Linked DNA regions of Saccharomyces cerevisiae S288C. The protein of the gene in region 3 interacts with the protein of the main gene of each other region in a biochemical or structural test. Each region holds a gene or a part of one and is shown on either strand. Other genes may lie near its edges.

Region 1 (4,616 bases), on a different chromosome or scaffold from region 3:
TGAGTGTCAATACAAAAAGGTGAGAAGAAATAGTGTAAGACAGCAACACACATCTAGACCGCCAATGAAGTTGTTCTGAATCCAGCAGTAGAGTTTATTTAGTTCAAAGTTTTACTAACGATAATTAACTTTTATGTTTTCATTTTAAACAGAGGGTACTCCTTCATTCGGTAAGCGTCACAACAAATCTCACACCTTGTGTAACAGATGTGGTCGTCGTTCTTTCCATGTTCAAAAGAAGACCTGTTCCTCTTGTGGTTACCCATCCGCTAAGACTAGATCTCACAACTGGGCTGCCAAGGCAAAGAGAAGACACACTACTGGTACCGGTAGAATGAGATATTTGAAGCATGTCTCCAGAAGATTTAAGAACGGTTTCCAAACCGGTTCTGCTAAGGCTACTTCTGCTTAAATTTGATATTATCTATAAGTTTTGTTCTTTCCTAAAACGAAAATAATATAAATTATATATAGTTAATATTAAGCATTACAAGGTTTCTATAAAGCGTTGACATTTTCCCCTTTTGATTGTTGCCTTACAGTCCCATTGAGATATATAATGAATCGGCCTCCTCTAGTGTGGTTAGATCGAATGATTTTGACTCAAGAATAGTTCTTGCCATTTCTTGAAATTTCTCATCGTACTTTACTTGCATTATTCTCCCCGTTCTTTTATTCAATTGCATCTTCAATTCTTCTTCGATATATTCTGGTAAATCCTCAAAGGCATCTTCGTAATAAGAGGCTTGATCCTTTATCGTCAGATCATGCAAACTATCTACAAGGTGTCGATGATCTCTCATTTCTCTTTCGTTTGCTGTCACAGTTTCGGTTTGGCATACGAGAAACCTCCATAGTGACATAATCAATTGGCTTTCTACCTGCTTGATTTGTTCTTCACGCAATTGTTTGAAATGGTCTTTCCATAGCCTATATATTATGGTTAAAGTATGTTCAATAAGATGGCATCTGAGGTCCAAGTTCGGGGAGTCTTGTCCCACGTACCTTTCTATCATTAACGCTTGCTCCCTGGATAAGAATTTAGAGGAGTGGATGAGCATTTCTCCATTTACTATGGTCGCATCGTCTCCATAGATCATTAATAAATTTTCAAAAATATTTAAAACTTCATCTTTTAACTTCAAAAGCCATTTTTCCATCTTGTAACCTATTATAGGGGCAGTGAATTTGTCGCTATCCATCCCAATATCCTCTTTAGAAATTACCCTTGGGACACTTTGCAATCGGTCAGTATAAATCAGCTTTGATATCAATCCTCCCAATTCATTATCACCTATATTTCGGATTAACCCAAAAAAGTCATGGTACTTCGACATATGAAGAGTTGTAGTATCCACATTTTCATTATATACGTCGCCACTCTTAATTTCCTTTTCCAAAAGAGCGTATAATCTTGTAATACAATCTCTCCACCAACTACCGCTTATCAAGGATTTCAGATCTGAGGAATTGTCCATATTTAATATTATACTAGTGATAATATTAACGACCTCGACTGCACTAAATATTACATTTACCATTGGCTTGTATGAAATGGTTAGTGCTAGTTTGTAGACAAATTCAAATGATTTTAGAATATTTTCATCAAAAAATTCCATATAAGTTTGCTTAGGATGCGACTGCAGTACCCTTAATATACCTTCTAGGAGATCAAAGGAATACGAAATTATCAAATAGTCTATCAGTTCATATTGGAAAATCTGAGGTTCTACATGCAAATTCATATTTGATTCATGTATCGGTACTTTCAATACATGATGATAGATTCTTATTAAATCGCAAATAAAAAGAAAACAATCCTTCAGTGCTAAATTATGAGTGGCACTAGGACGAAATTGTACAATCTGATACATCAATGCAACGAGAAATGGGACAGCTAATTTCGATTCATTTGGATGAACTGATATTTCCTTGATCAAAACAGCTATATCCTCTAGCAAAGTATCTATGAACCTGTCGAGGGTCAACGTCTTTTTACATCGCAAAAGTAGAGAAACTATGGACTTCCCTATGGGGGCTCCTTTAGCAATGACGAAATTCTTAAATTTAAACTCTGTGATGTAGTCAAGCTTCAATCTATTTAATATTTCTATTGTGCTCAGGTCAGCGCCTATTATTTGATGAAGTAATATTGACTCTAGAAATAAACTCGTTTCATCGGGAATAATCCTATTTGGGTTTAGGGGAACCATATTTTTTTTCAGTAAATTATCACTTATCTTACGTTTTTTTGATTGTGGTGATTGAGGTTTTGCTTCGATTGCAACTGAGGACGAATCTGGCGTTATAGTGTTTGTGTTTGTTGATAATGTTGTTGACGGTGGTTTTACATTCGTAATAACTTCCCTTTTCGATTTTCCTCTCGCTTCCATCTGTAAGAACTTCTTCTCATCTTCCAGTTTCTGTAATTCTTGTTTTAATTTAGCCAACTCTTGAAGATGCTTGACTTGCAATTCATTAACTTTGACGGCTTGAATATTCTTTTCCTTTTCCCTTTCAATGTTCAAAAAGTTTATTTTATCACGAAGCATGCTTGCTTCACCTTGAGCTTTATTCAGTTGGTTAACCAGTTGGTTATCATTTTTACTCTGTTTATTGTTTAATGTGGTCGTTGTAACCTCCAAAGTAGTGGGAATTTGTGTTTGTAATGCTGCTGATGATGGCGGTATTTGAGTAAACCTTGGAGGCCTGGTGCCTAATTCCAAAAGAATATCATCATCGTCATCTGAAGAAAATTCACCCACCGTTTCTCGTCTCATCTATAATAGAAATATGCAAAAGAGTTTGATGATTGTGTTGACGTTTCGTGCACTATCGCGTATTTGTTTGCTTTTTATTTTATTGCATGTGCTGTTTTCCCCAAAAAATCGATGGAACGCTCGGATTTGGCTAGAGGCGGGAAAAATCACCAATAATCGAAGAAAATAGAAGAACCAAGATACTAATAGCTCTTTGTAAGATAAATTTTGGAGTTACTACAGGTTACTATCCTTATTCAGAGACTTTTTACTGCTTTGCTCCTAATATTTAGTAGGAAAGAGCGAGCCTGTCTGACTCTTTTTTTTTTAAAAAAATTCAAGGTAAAACCTAACTAAACATAAAATTTCCACTCGAGTTATTCCGCTTAAAAGTGCTTAACATCGGTGCCACACAATACGAACCTTAGTAGAGAACCGACCGTTACCTCTTTATTAGCCCTAGTTTGTACCACTTAAGCTCTAATTCCAATCTAATGTGTGTGTATTTTTTTCTATTGTTAGCGCCGCACCAAAGAGGATCATGGTAAATACAATTACATAAAGAAAAGAAAAGCAACAAAACAGCTTCGTTTGCACCTTTAGCAAACGTTGGAATTTTCCTAATCTCAAAACAAGTGGTAAATCTAATCCCACACTAAAGAAAGCACGTCTTTACCAGTGACTTTATCAATAAATCACCTGCACACGCTGTCCGGGTAAATAGAATTGTTACTAAATAATGAAAAATACATTCGCAGTTGTAAAAATGCCAACAGAAATACCTGATATACAGTTAACAAGTAAGATCGGATCACGCTGCCAAGGCGCATAACAAACTATAAAGCCATTAAAGATTATGGTCGTGACATTTTTGCAGGACCTGGAAGTTTTGCAAGATGCATTATTAAATAATTTGCAAAAATTAAGTGCAATCTCCCGCAGAAAAGAAAGCGGAGAAAGCAAGCATGATAATAAGGACAGTTTTGCAGCCATTGCCAACGAACACAATGATGAAGAAGAAGAGATTGAATTTGAGGATTTGGTGAATATTATAGAGAGCAAAGTTTCAGATTTCGAATCGGTACTGAAATGTAGTATTGTGGAAATGACCTACAAATACCCCGAATTAAAATTACAGTGGGAAAAAAGCCCTAGATACGATCAATGCGATAAGTTGCATATTGTGAAGCTTGATAAACAAATGAACGAGGACATATATGCTCAGTTGGTCGAAGAACTGGATTTCGTGTTGCAATTCGTCGATTGGTTCTATTGCTACCGCCTGAAAGTCAAAGAGATTCTACGACAACACCACAAACGTGACTTAGCTTGGAACGACGAGAAAAGAGACCGCGCTATAAAATTTCACGCTGTGGATTACGACAAGCTTCACCAAGGAACGTCGTCATCGTCAAGCTTAACGTCCACATCGATGGAAAAAGCCAGCACTAGAGAGAAGCTTTTGAGCAAAACAAAACAACTGACGAATAACTTGGTGAGAGGAAATCAAATTTTGCAGTCCGGAATTTTACAAAGTGACCTGAATTTGGATGAATTGAGAGCCCAAACCAATTCCTTAACACAAATCGATGACAAGTACACTCAATTCGAAACCGTCTTCAAGAAAACTGCCGATTTGGTCAAAGTACTGGAAAATGCCTCCCATCAAGAGAAACGAGATGTCTATTTATCACTTGGGTTCCTCCTATGCTGCGTCTCGTGGGTTCTATGGCGTCGTATTTTCAAGTTACCTGTTAAACTCGGCCTCTGGCTGCTATTCAAGTTTTTCAAGGGTATACTCGTCACCCTAGGTCTAGTTAAAAGCTATGCAGGCTCCTCGTCCTCTCTTCAAGCACC
Region 2 (3,121 bases), on a different chromosome or scaffold from region 3:
CCAGCCCGCGCCTGTTCCATACAATCTGCCCATATCAACTCCTGCTAGCCCACAAGACACTATATCTCTTTACGCACCACCATACTTCCCTCATCCTATGCCATCTGCTCCCATACCATTGCCGCATCAGCCTCCTCCACTACCAATATACAGCTATATGCAACCACTCTTCCTGAACCACACTCCCATACAAAACCACAACATTGTAGAGCTCCCTCCAGATAGCAGTGACACTCCAGCATCGCCGTCTAAGGTGCAAAGTTTTGACCAGGCCAAGGACGCTTCACCAAACGCAAAAAAATAAGCTCTACCGCACCCACTCCTCCATTTCACAAGCCGCATCATTGCTGCTATTGTACCCTCTTGGCCATTCGCGTGCGCGTTGATTGCCGTTATTATGCAGATATTTTGATATCGCTTGCCGTTTGGCTCATCTCCGCGCCCTTAAAATATATCCGCTTCTGTTGGGAAATGCCGAGCATAAAAATGCCGAAAATATAAAAAGAACAAGAACAATACCCTTCGAGGGAAACGCTATTTTCCTGTCCACACAACCTTAATTAATTCGCACGTCTGTGCCACCAAGTAGCAACTGGTTCGTATTGCTTTATCTTTCTTGCTTGTTATTACATTGCTGTAAGATAACAAGCAGCGTTTTACTCTACGGATTGTTTATAAGGATTTTGTTCCTCGACCCCTTATATTTACTCACCTTCCCCCTACTCTAATTCTCCTGATTTCAGAACAAAAAAAAAATGACTCCACTTTTGCAGGCGGAAGCAAAAATGAACACAAGCCTCTACCTTACGGAAAGCATCCAACAACATGAATTCAACCTCACCAGCCCTCAGTCATTCTATTCTTCTCCCTCGGTACCCAATAGTAAAAATAACTCGGGCATTTTCAGCTATAACACTGCCAACAACAGTAGGGTGAGTTCTAGTGATGAATTCACTACCCAACAAGACGGCATGAACACCATAATGTACAAAAACAACATCAGTAAAACTTTCGAAGACGACATCTTTTATTGTCCAAGAAGTTTGCTCACCCCAGAAGAACAAGTGGTATACCAGGAAATTGACAAGTATTACATGGAACAAGCACTATTGACCCAGTTACAAATCTCCCAAACGTATTCCTCCACTCCTAAAGAGGAAAAGATAGTTAAGTTCAATCCCTACACTTCGAAGAGTTTCAGTCCAGCTTCTTCTGAATAACTAACGAGAACACGTTCACTACAGACATGGGGCTTCTTTTCCTTTTTTCATTTTCTTTCTCTTATTATTCTGGGTATTTCTTATTAATCGGTTGAACTATGTATTACGTCGAAATTTCTTTAATATTTCTTTGTATTCTTCACGACGAATTGTTCATTTCATTTTACTCCATTTTTTCAGTATTCCTGGGGCTACAGGTATATGTGGCAAAAAATTTTTTTTCTATTATTTGACGGGATCTCCTATATATTTTATACACTTTTACAGGAAAAAAACTTATTAGTTTTCAATATTTTCTTTATTTTTTTTTCCTTAAGACAACTTTGTTGACTACCAGCAAAATGGGAAAGAAAAAAAAAGCACTGAAAAGGAAAAATGAAAACACTATAGGAAGTTTAAGATATGTCTGACCAACCCGAGACTCCTTCCAATAGTAGAAATTCTCATGAAAATGTTGGCGCAAAGAAAGCTGACGCTAATGTTGCCTCGAAATTCAGAAGCTTGCATATCTCTGAAACCACTAAGCCATTAACATCAACTAGAGCTTTATACAAAACCACAAGAAACAATTCAAGAGGTGCGACAGAATTCCATAAACATGTTTGTAAGTTAGCATGGAAATATCTTGCTTGTATTGATAAATCGTCGATATCACACATTGAAATCGAAATGAAATTTGGTGTTATAACAGACAAAAGGACACATCGCAGGATGACACCACACAACAAGCCCTTTATTGTTCAAAACAGAAATGGCCGCTTAGTGTCTAACGTTCCTGAGCAAATGTTCTCGAGTTTCCAGGAGCTACTCCGCTCAAAATCGGAGAATCCAAGTAAATGTGCCCCAAGAGTAGTAAAACAGGTACAAAAGTATACGAAAGATTCTATATATAACTGCAACAATGCCTCGAAAGTTGGCAAATTAACTTCATGGCGTTGTTCGGAAGACCTTAGAAACAAAGAACTTAAACTTACTTACATCAAAAAGGTCCGGGTCAAGGATTTTCTCATTCGCTATCCTCAAAGTTCATTAGACGCTAAAATTAGCATCAGCCTTGAAGTGCCTGAATACGAAACTTCTGCCGCTTTCAGGAATGGCTTTATTTTACAAAGAACCAAAAGCCGTTCCACCTACACCTTTAATGATAAAATGCCTTTACACTTGGATTTGACAAAGGTTACTACCACGCGAAGGAACTCCCATCAATACACGTCCCATGAAGTGGAGGTAGAAATGGATCCTATATTCAAGGAGACAATTTCCGCTAATGATAGGGAGAAGTTTAATGAGTATATGTGCTCGTTTTTGAATGCCAGCGACCTTATACGTAAGGCTGCAGAACGCGATAACATGTTAACGACATGAAAATGCTAATTAAATACTTCTTTTTGTTCTCTATAAGGTGCTACATGTATGATCTGAGTATATATATATATATATATATATACATGCTGTGCTAGGAATAAGTTCATGTAATATTTTCAGTGTTTTATTGACTGAAATTCACCGATGGGACTTGTTACTACCTGACTTACTCTTATTCCTGAATGGATGAATGTTGAGAATAAATCGTTGGTCTTATCGCTTTCATTATCATCGCCGATATTGTGTCCTTGCTCTTCTTCAACTATGTCCTCAGATAATTCCATGGGTTGATGATAATTGAACATCCCACATGGTGAAGACGGTATTGCCTTTTGCTTTTTGAGGGCTTCCTCCTCTTCCTCTTCATCCAAAACTTCTTCATGAGATCTCTTACTTTGCTGAGTTTCCAGCATGCTAGTAAGCTTTTTCGAAGCTGTAACATTATTATCAGAAGCTGGCTGGTCAGCTGGAGTAGAGAAATTTATAAGCCCTGCCTGAGGTTTTGTATTGTCCGAATCTATTACAGATGCCTTTCT
Region 3 (5,716 bases):
GATCCCACAGTATCGTCTCACATTTCGAATATAAACGTAAATCTGGAACCTGCTCCAGGAATTTTAGAAAGAGAACCTATTGCGACACCTAGAATGGACTACGGTGTTAACAATTTTATGTGGTCTCCGAGAATGAATCAAGACTCTACGATGGAGCCCCCGGAAGAACCAATAGATAATAATGACGATAGCGCAAATGATCTAATTGATAGATAAATTATATAAGGGCATATTTAAGAGGCTTTATAGATGTAAAAATGAACAATAAGAATAATTTAAATTTGTTTTATTGAGAGGTGATTTTCTAGAGCATGTCAAACTTTACTATTCAGGGAAAAAAGAAAAGAAAAAAATGCGCAAGCCCGGAATCGAACCGGGGGCCCAACGATGGCAACGTTGGATTTTACCACTAAACCACTTGCGCTTACTGATTATATCTTAATGGTTGAAGAGATCTGAATAAGTTTTATCTTCCTCTGGGCAAAGAATACTATACATTGCAAGAGTACCCATTAGAAGGGAATTAATTTATGCACTCTAAATCTTTTTTGATTATTCCGGATATTATTTTTGTTGATAATTAGAGGTAAAAAATAGTATTAATGAAGAAATAAGTATTGATCTTCTTATACTAAATAAGAGAGGTATATAAAACACACGCCGATTGGTCATATTAATCATGACCAATATAATAGTGATTCCGGTAGTTACTATACATTGATGTGACGACTCATATTCCTCATATATGTACCTACCATATCATGTTCAACTAATAGATTTTAAGCACAGCTTCAGTATTGTCTCAGCTTCTCGTTTAACATTCCTTCTGCAATAGGTGCAATCACACTTAAACGTATACGAGGTGTACATTAATATACGATGTAAGCATTATATTGTTACCATAGCAACTCATGTCACTATTAATTACTCTCGTTCCAACAATTTTGTATTTGAAGCTTTAACGGGTGTTAAATGCACAGCCGATACGGCTCATCCGAAAAGTAACGCCAATTATATTAACAGCTTTTCCATTTATTTAGAATGGCGATACAACGGAAACATACGAATATGATAGTACTCAATTGTTGTGTTGGAATAAAAATCCACTATCGTCTATCAACTAATAGTTATATTATCAATATATTATCATATACGGTGTTAAGATGATGACATAAGTTATGAGAAGCTGTCATCGATGTTAGAGGAAGCTGAAGTGCAAGGATTGATAATATAATAGGATAATGAAACATATAAAACGGAATGAGGAATAATCGTAATATTAGTATGTAGAAATATAGATTCCATTTTGAGGATTCCTATATCCTCGAGGAGAACTTCTAGTATATTCTGTATACCTAATATTATAGCCTTTATCAACAATGGAATCCCAACAATTATCTCATCATTTACCCATTTCTCATGTTGTGTACACATTATATACCTCCCAGTTACTGTCAATCCTCTCCTCTTATATCGTTTCAATACAAATAATATATTATGAAGGGCAATATTACATCATTACCCGGAGATATATACTATTTGGAATGATCTTTCTTTATAAGAAAAAAAAAGAATTTCGCAGATTTCCCTGGCTTTCCTTATTCTTCCTACGTTAGCATTATTATGAATTATCGCTAATAGCAAAGGCAAAAAAGATTATCAACTGCAGGATATTCGGTCACAACTTTGACATAGATCTTGAGAACCTCAACACTATTCATTTCTCTGGCCTGATTATTTTAAGTAAAGTCAATCATTGTTAAGTTTTCTTTTGTTCTTTTCTATCATTCTCGCTCTTTCAATTACTTACACCTACAATAATAGACGTTGACCTGTGAAAGGCAAGAAACTTAACTAATAGTATAATTAAGAAGAAGTTAACATTTTACTCTACATTATTGAAACCGCTCACTGACTTCAAAAATAGGATAAAAACATAATATGGAAGGAATTTTGGATTTTTCTAACGACTTAGATATCGCTCTATTAGATCAGGTGGTATCTACATTCTATCAAGGTTCAGGTGTTCAGCAAAAGCAAGCCCAAGAGATTTTGACTAAATTTCAAGATAATCCAGACGCTTGGCAAAAAGCTGACCAAATTCTTCAATTCTCAACTAACCCTCAATCAAAATTTATTGCCCTTTCCATCCTTGATAAATTAATTACTAGAAAATGGAAATTGTTGCCGAATGATCATAGAATTGGAATTAGGAACTTCGTTGTTGGTATGATTATCTCCATGTGCCAAGACGATGAAGTATTTAAAACACAAAAGAACCTGATCAATAAGTCGGACTTGACTTTGGTCCAAATTTTAAAGCAGGAATGGCCTCAGAATTGGCCTGAATTTATCCCAGAACTAATCGGCAGTTCAAGTTCCTCTGTTAATGTTTGTGAAAATAACATGATCGTTTTGAAACTGCTATCCGAAGAAGTCTTCGATTTCTCTGCGGAACAAATGACACAAGCTAAAGCTTTACATTTGAAAAATTCCATGTCAAAAGAATTTGAACAGATTTTTAAATTATGTTTTCAAGTTTTGGAACAAGGTTCTTCAAGCTCTCTAATAGTGGCAACCTTAGAATCTTTACTGAGATATTTACATTGGATTCCTTATCGTTATATTTATGAAACCAATATTTTGGAATTATTAAGCACCAAATTCATGACATCGCCTGATACAAGAGCCATCACATTGAAATGTTTGACTGAGGTTTCAAATCTAAAAATTCCACAAGATAATGATTTGATAAAAAGACAAACTGTACTTTTTTTCCAAAATACTCTACAACAAATTGCCACAAGTGTGATGCCCGTGACTGCCGATCTGAAAGCCACTTATGCAAATGCTAACGGTAATGATCAATCTTTCTTACAAGATTTAGCAATGTTTCTAACTACATATCTCGCTCGTAATAGGGCCCTTCTAGAGAGTGATGAATCGTTAAGAGAGTTGTTGTTGAATGCGCACCAATACTTAATTCAATTATCCAAAATCGAAGAAAGAGAACTATTTAAGACGACATTGGATTACTGGCATAATTTAGTAGCAGATTTGTTTTATGAGGTTCAGCGTTTGCCTGCTACCGAAATGAGCCCATTGATACAGTTATCAGTCGGTTCACAAGCTATCTCAACTGGATCTGGCGCCCTAAATCCGGAATATATGAAAAGATTTCCATTAAAAAAACATATTTACGAAGAAATTTGTTCACAGTTGAGATTGGTCATTATTGAAAATATGGTTAGACCAGAAGAAGTCCTTGTGGTTGAAAATGATGAAGGAGAAATTGTTAGAGAGTTCGTTAAAGAATCAGACACTATCCAATTATACAAATCAGAAAGAGAGGTTCTTGTATATTTGACCCATTTGAATGTTATCGATACAGAAGAAATCATGATCAGTAAATTGGCAAGGCAAATCGATGGTTCCGAATGGTCATGGCATAATATCAACACTTTATCTTGGGCTATTGGTTCCATATCTGGTACAATGAGCGAAGATACTGAAAAAAGGTTTGTAGTTACTGTTATTAAAGATTTACTAGATTTAACGGTCAAGAAAAGGGGTAAAGATAATAAAGCTGTTGTTGCATCGGATATTATGTACGTCGTGGGCCAATATCCTAGATTTTTGAAGGCTCACTGGAATTTTCTAAGAACAGTTATTTTGAAACTTTTTGAATTTATGCATGAAACTCATGAGGGTGTTCAGGATATGGCATGTGACACATTCATTAAGATTGTTCAAAAATGTAAATATCATTTTGTTATTCAACAACCCCGTGAGTCTGAGCCTTTCATCCAAACAATAATTAGGGATATTCAAAAGACAACTGCTGACCTACAGCCGCAACAGGTCCATACATTTTACAAGGCTTGTGGTATTATTATTTCTGAAGAAAGAAGCGTAGCGGAGAGAAATAGATTATTAAGTGATTTGATGCAACTGCCAAATATGGCTTGGGACACTATAGTGGAACAATCCACTGCTAACCCAACATTGTTGTTAGATTCTGAAACTGTCAAAATTATTGCGAATATTATAAAAACCAATGTAGCTGTCTGCACCTCAATGGGAGCAGATTTCTATCCACAGTTGGGTCACATCTATTACAATATGCTTCAGCTATACAGAGCTGTTTCTTCGATGATTTCTGCTCAAGTTGCCGCAGAAGGTCTAATTGCTACGAAGACACCAAAGGTTCGTGGTTTGAGAACCATCAAAAAAGAGATTCTGAAGCTTGTTGAGACCTATATATCCAAGGCGAGAAATTTGGATGATGTCGTTAAAGTGTTAGTTGAGCCATTATTGAACGCTGTACTTGAAGACTATATGAACAACGTTCCTGATGCAAGGGACGCCGAAGTGCTAAATTGTATGACAACAGTAGTAGAAAAGGTTGGTCATATGATCCCACAAGGTGTTATTTTAATTTTACAGAGTGTATTTGAATGCACTTTGGACATGATTAACAAAGACTTCACAGAATATCCAGAGCATCGTGTAGAATTTTACAAGTTATTGAAGGTCATCAATGAGAAATCATTTGCTGCATTTTTGGAACTACCTCCGGCTGCCTTTAAATTGTTTGTTGACGCTATTTGTTGGGCGTTCAAACATAACAATAGAGATGTCGAAGTTAATGGTCTACAGATTGCATTAGACCTAGTGAAAAACATTGAAAGAATGGGAAATGTCCCATTTGCAAATGAGTTCCACAAGAATTATTTTTTCATTTTTGTCAGTGAAACGTTTTTTGTTTTAACCGATTCCGACCACAAATCCGGTTTTTCTAAGCAAGCTTTGTTACTAATGAAGTTGATTTCTTTGGTTTATGATAACAAGATTTCGGTACCATTATATCAAGAAGCTGAGGTACCACAAGGAACTTCAAATCAAGTCTACTTAAGCCAATATTTGGCTAATATGTTAAGTAATGCATTCCCCCATTTAACATCCGAACAAATCGCAAGTTTTCTCTCTGCATTAACTAAACAATACAAAGACTTAGTGGTCTTCAAAGGCACTTTGAGGGACTTTTTGGTGCAAATCAAAGAAGTCGGAGGTGATCCAACAGATTATTTGTTTGCTGAAGATAAAGAGAATGCATTAATGGAACAGAATAGACTAGAGAGGGAAAAAGCTGCCAAGATTGGTGGGTTATTAAAACCTTCCGAACTTGATGATTAGAGGCGGTGGCGTATCATTCTTTAAATTTCCAATATTTTTTCCCTTTTATTAACTAGTCTCTAATTTATAACCACGGGGTTTTCATTTCTTTTTCACTTCATATTGTATGTAAATTGGTTCTTCAAAGTTCCAATACTCTAATATAGTACTAAATACTATTTAGCCAACTTCATGGAAAAGTAAAGAATATTATTTGAAGATTCTTAAGTGATTACCCATTTTATTGTTATTATTGATGTATGTACATGATTGTAGTAAAATACTTATACGCCTTATGCTCAAGTTTTTTTGATTGCATCTTGAATTTTAACGAAACTGTTTTTGGGCCCAGCCACAGAGCCTTTAACCCAAATAACATTATTTTCATCGTCGACTTTCAAAACTTTAACATTTTGGATAGTAACATGCTCGTTTCCCATATGACCAGGCATCTTTCTTCCTGGCAGTACCCTACCTGGGTCTTGGTTTTGACCATAAGAACCACCGTGTCTATGCATAATAGATGTACCATGAGATGCTC

Evidence for each region. The genes of interacting proteins can lie anywhere in the genome.
Region 1: the proteins of CRM1 (region 3) and LCD1 form a complex in vitro, tested with the Saccharomyces cerevisiae proteins (one study listed by BioGRID).
Region 2: the proteins of CRM1 (region 3) and CTL1 form a complex in vitro, tested with the Saccharomyces cerevisiae proteins (one study listed by BioGRID).

Annotation. Positions count from the first base shown.
Region 1 is NC_001136.10:1,445,994-1,450,609, reverse strand, and holds LCD1 (Lcd1p), read right to left. Parts: upstream 2,781-4,616; coding exon 537-2,780; downstream 1-536. Other genes in the region: 60S ribosomal protein eL37 RPL37B, read left to right, coding at 153-412; SEC20 (Sec20p), read left to right, coding at 3,616-4,616. UniProt on the Saccharomyces cerevisiae protein: Forms a complex with the serine/threonine kinase MEC1 which activates checkpoint signaling upon genotoxic stresses.
Region 2 is NC_001145.3:621,715-624,835, reverse strand, and holds CTL1 (polynucleotide 5'-phosphatase), read left to right. Parts: upstream 1-1,622; coding exon 1,623-2,585; downstream 2,586-3,121. Other genes in the region: RGM1 (Rgm1p), read left to right, coding at 1-304; YMR181C (uncharacterized protein), read left to right, coding at 756-1,220; SPT21 (Spt21p), read right to left, coding at 2,702-3,121. UniProt on the Saccharomyces cerevisiae protein: Probably involved in an RNA processing event other than mRNA capping. Releases gamma-phosphate from the 5'-end of RNA to produce a diphosphate terminus.
Region 3 is NC_001139.9:930,600-936,315, forward strand, and holds CRM1 (exportin CRM1), read left to right. Parts: upstream 1-1,941; coding exon 1,942-5,196; downstream 5,197-5,716. Other genes in the region: calcium channel protein CCH1, read left to right, coding at 1-216; mitochondrial 54S ribosomal protein uL3m MRPL9, read right to left, coding at 5,475-5,716. UniProt on the Saccharomyces cerevisiae protein: Receptor for the leucine-rich nuclear export signal (NES).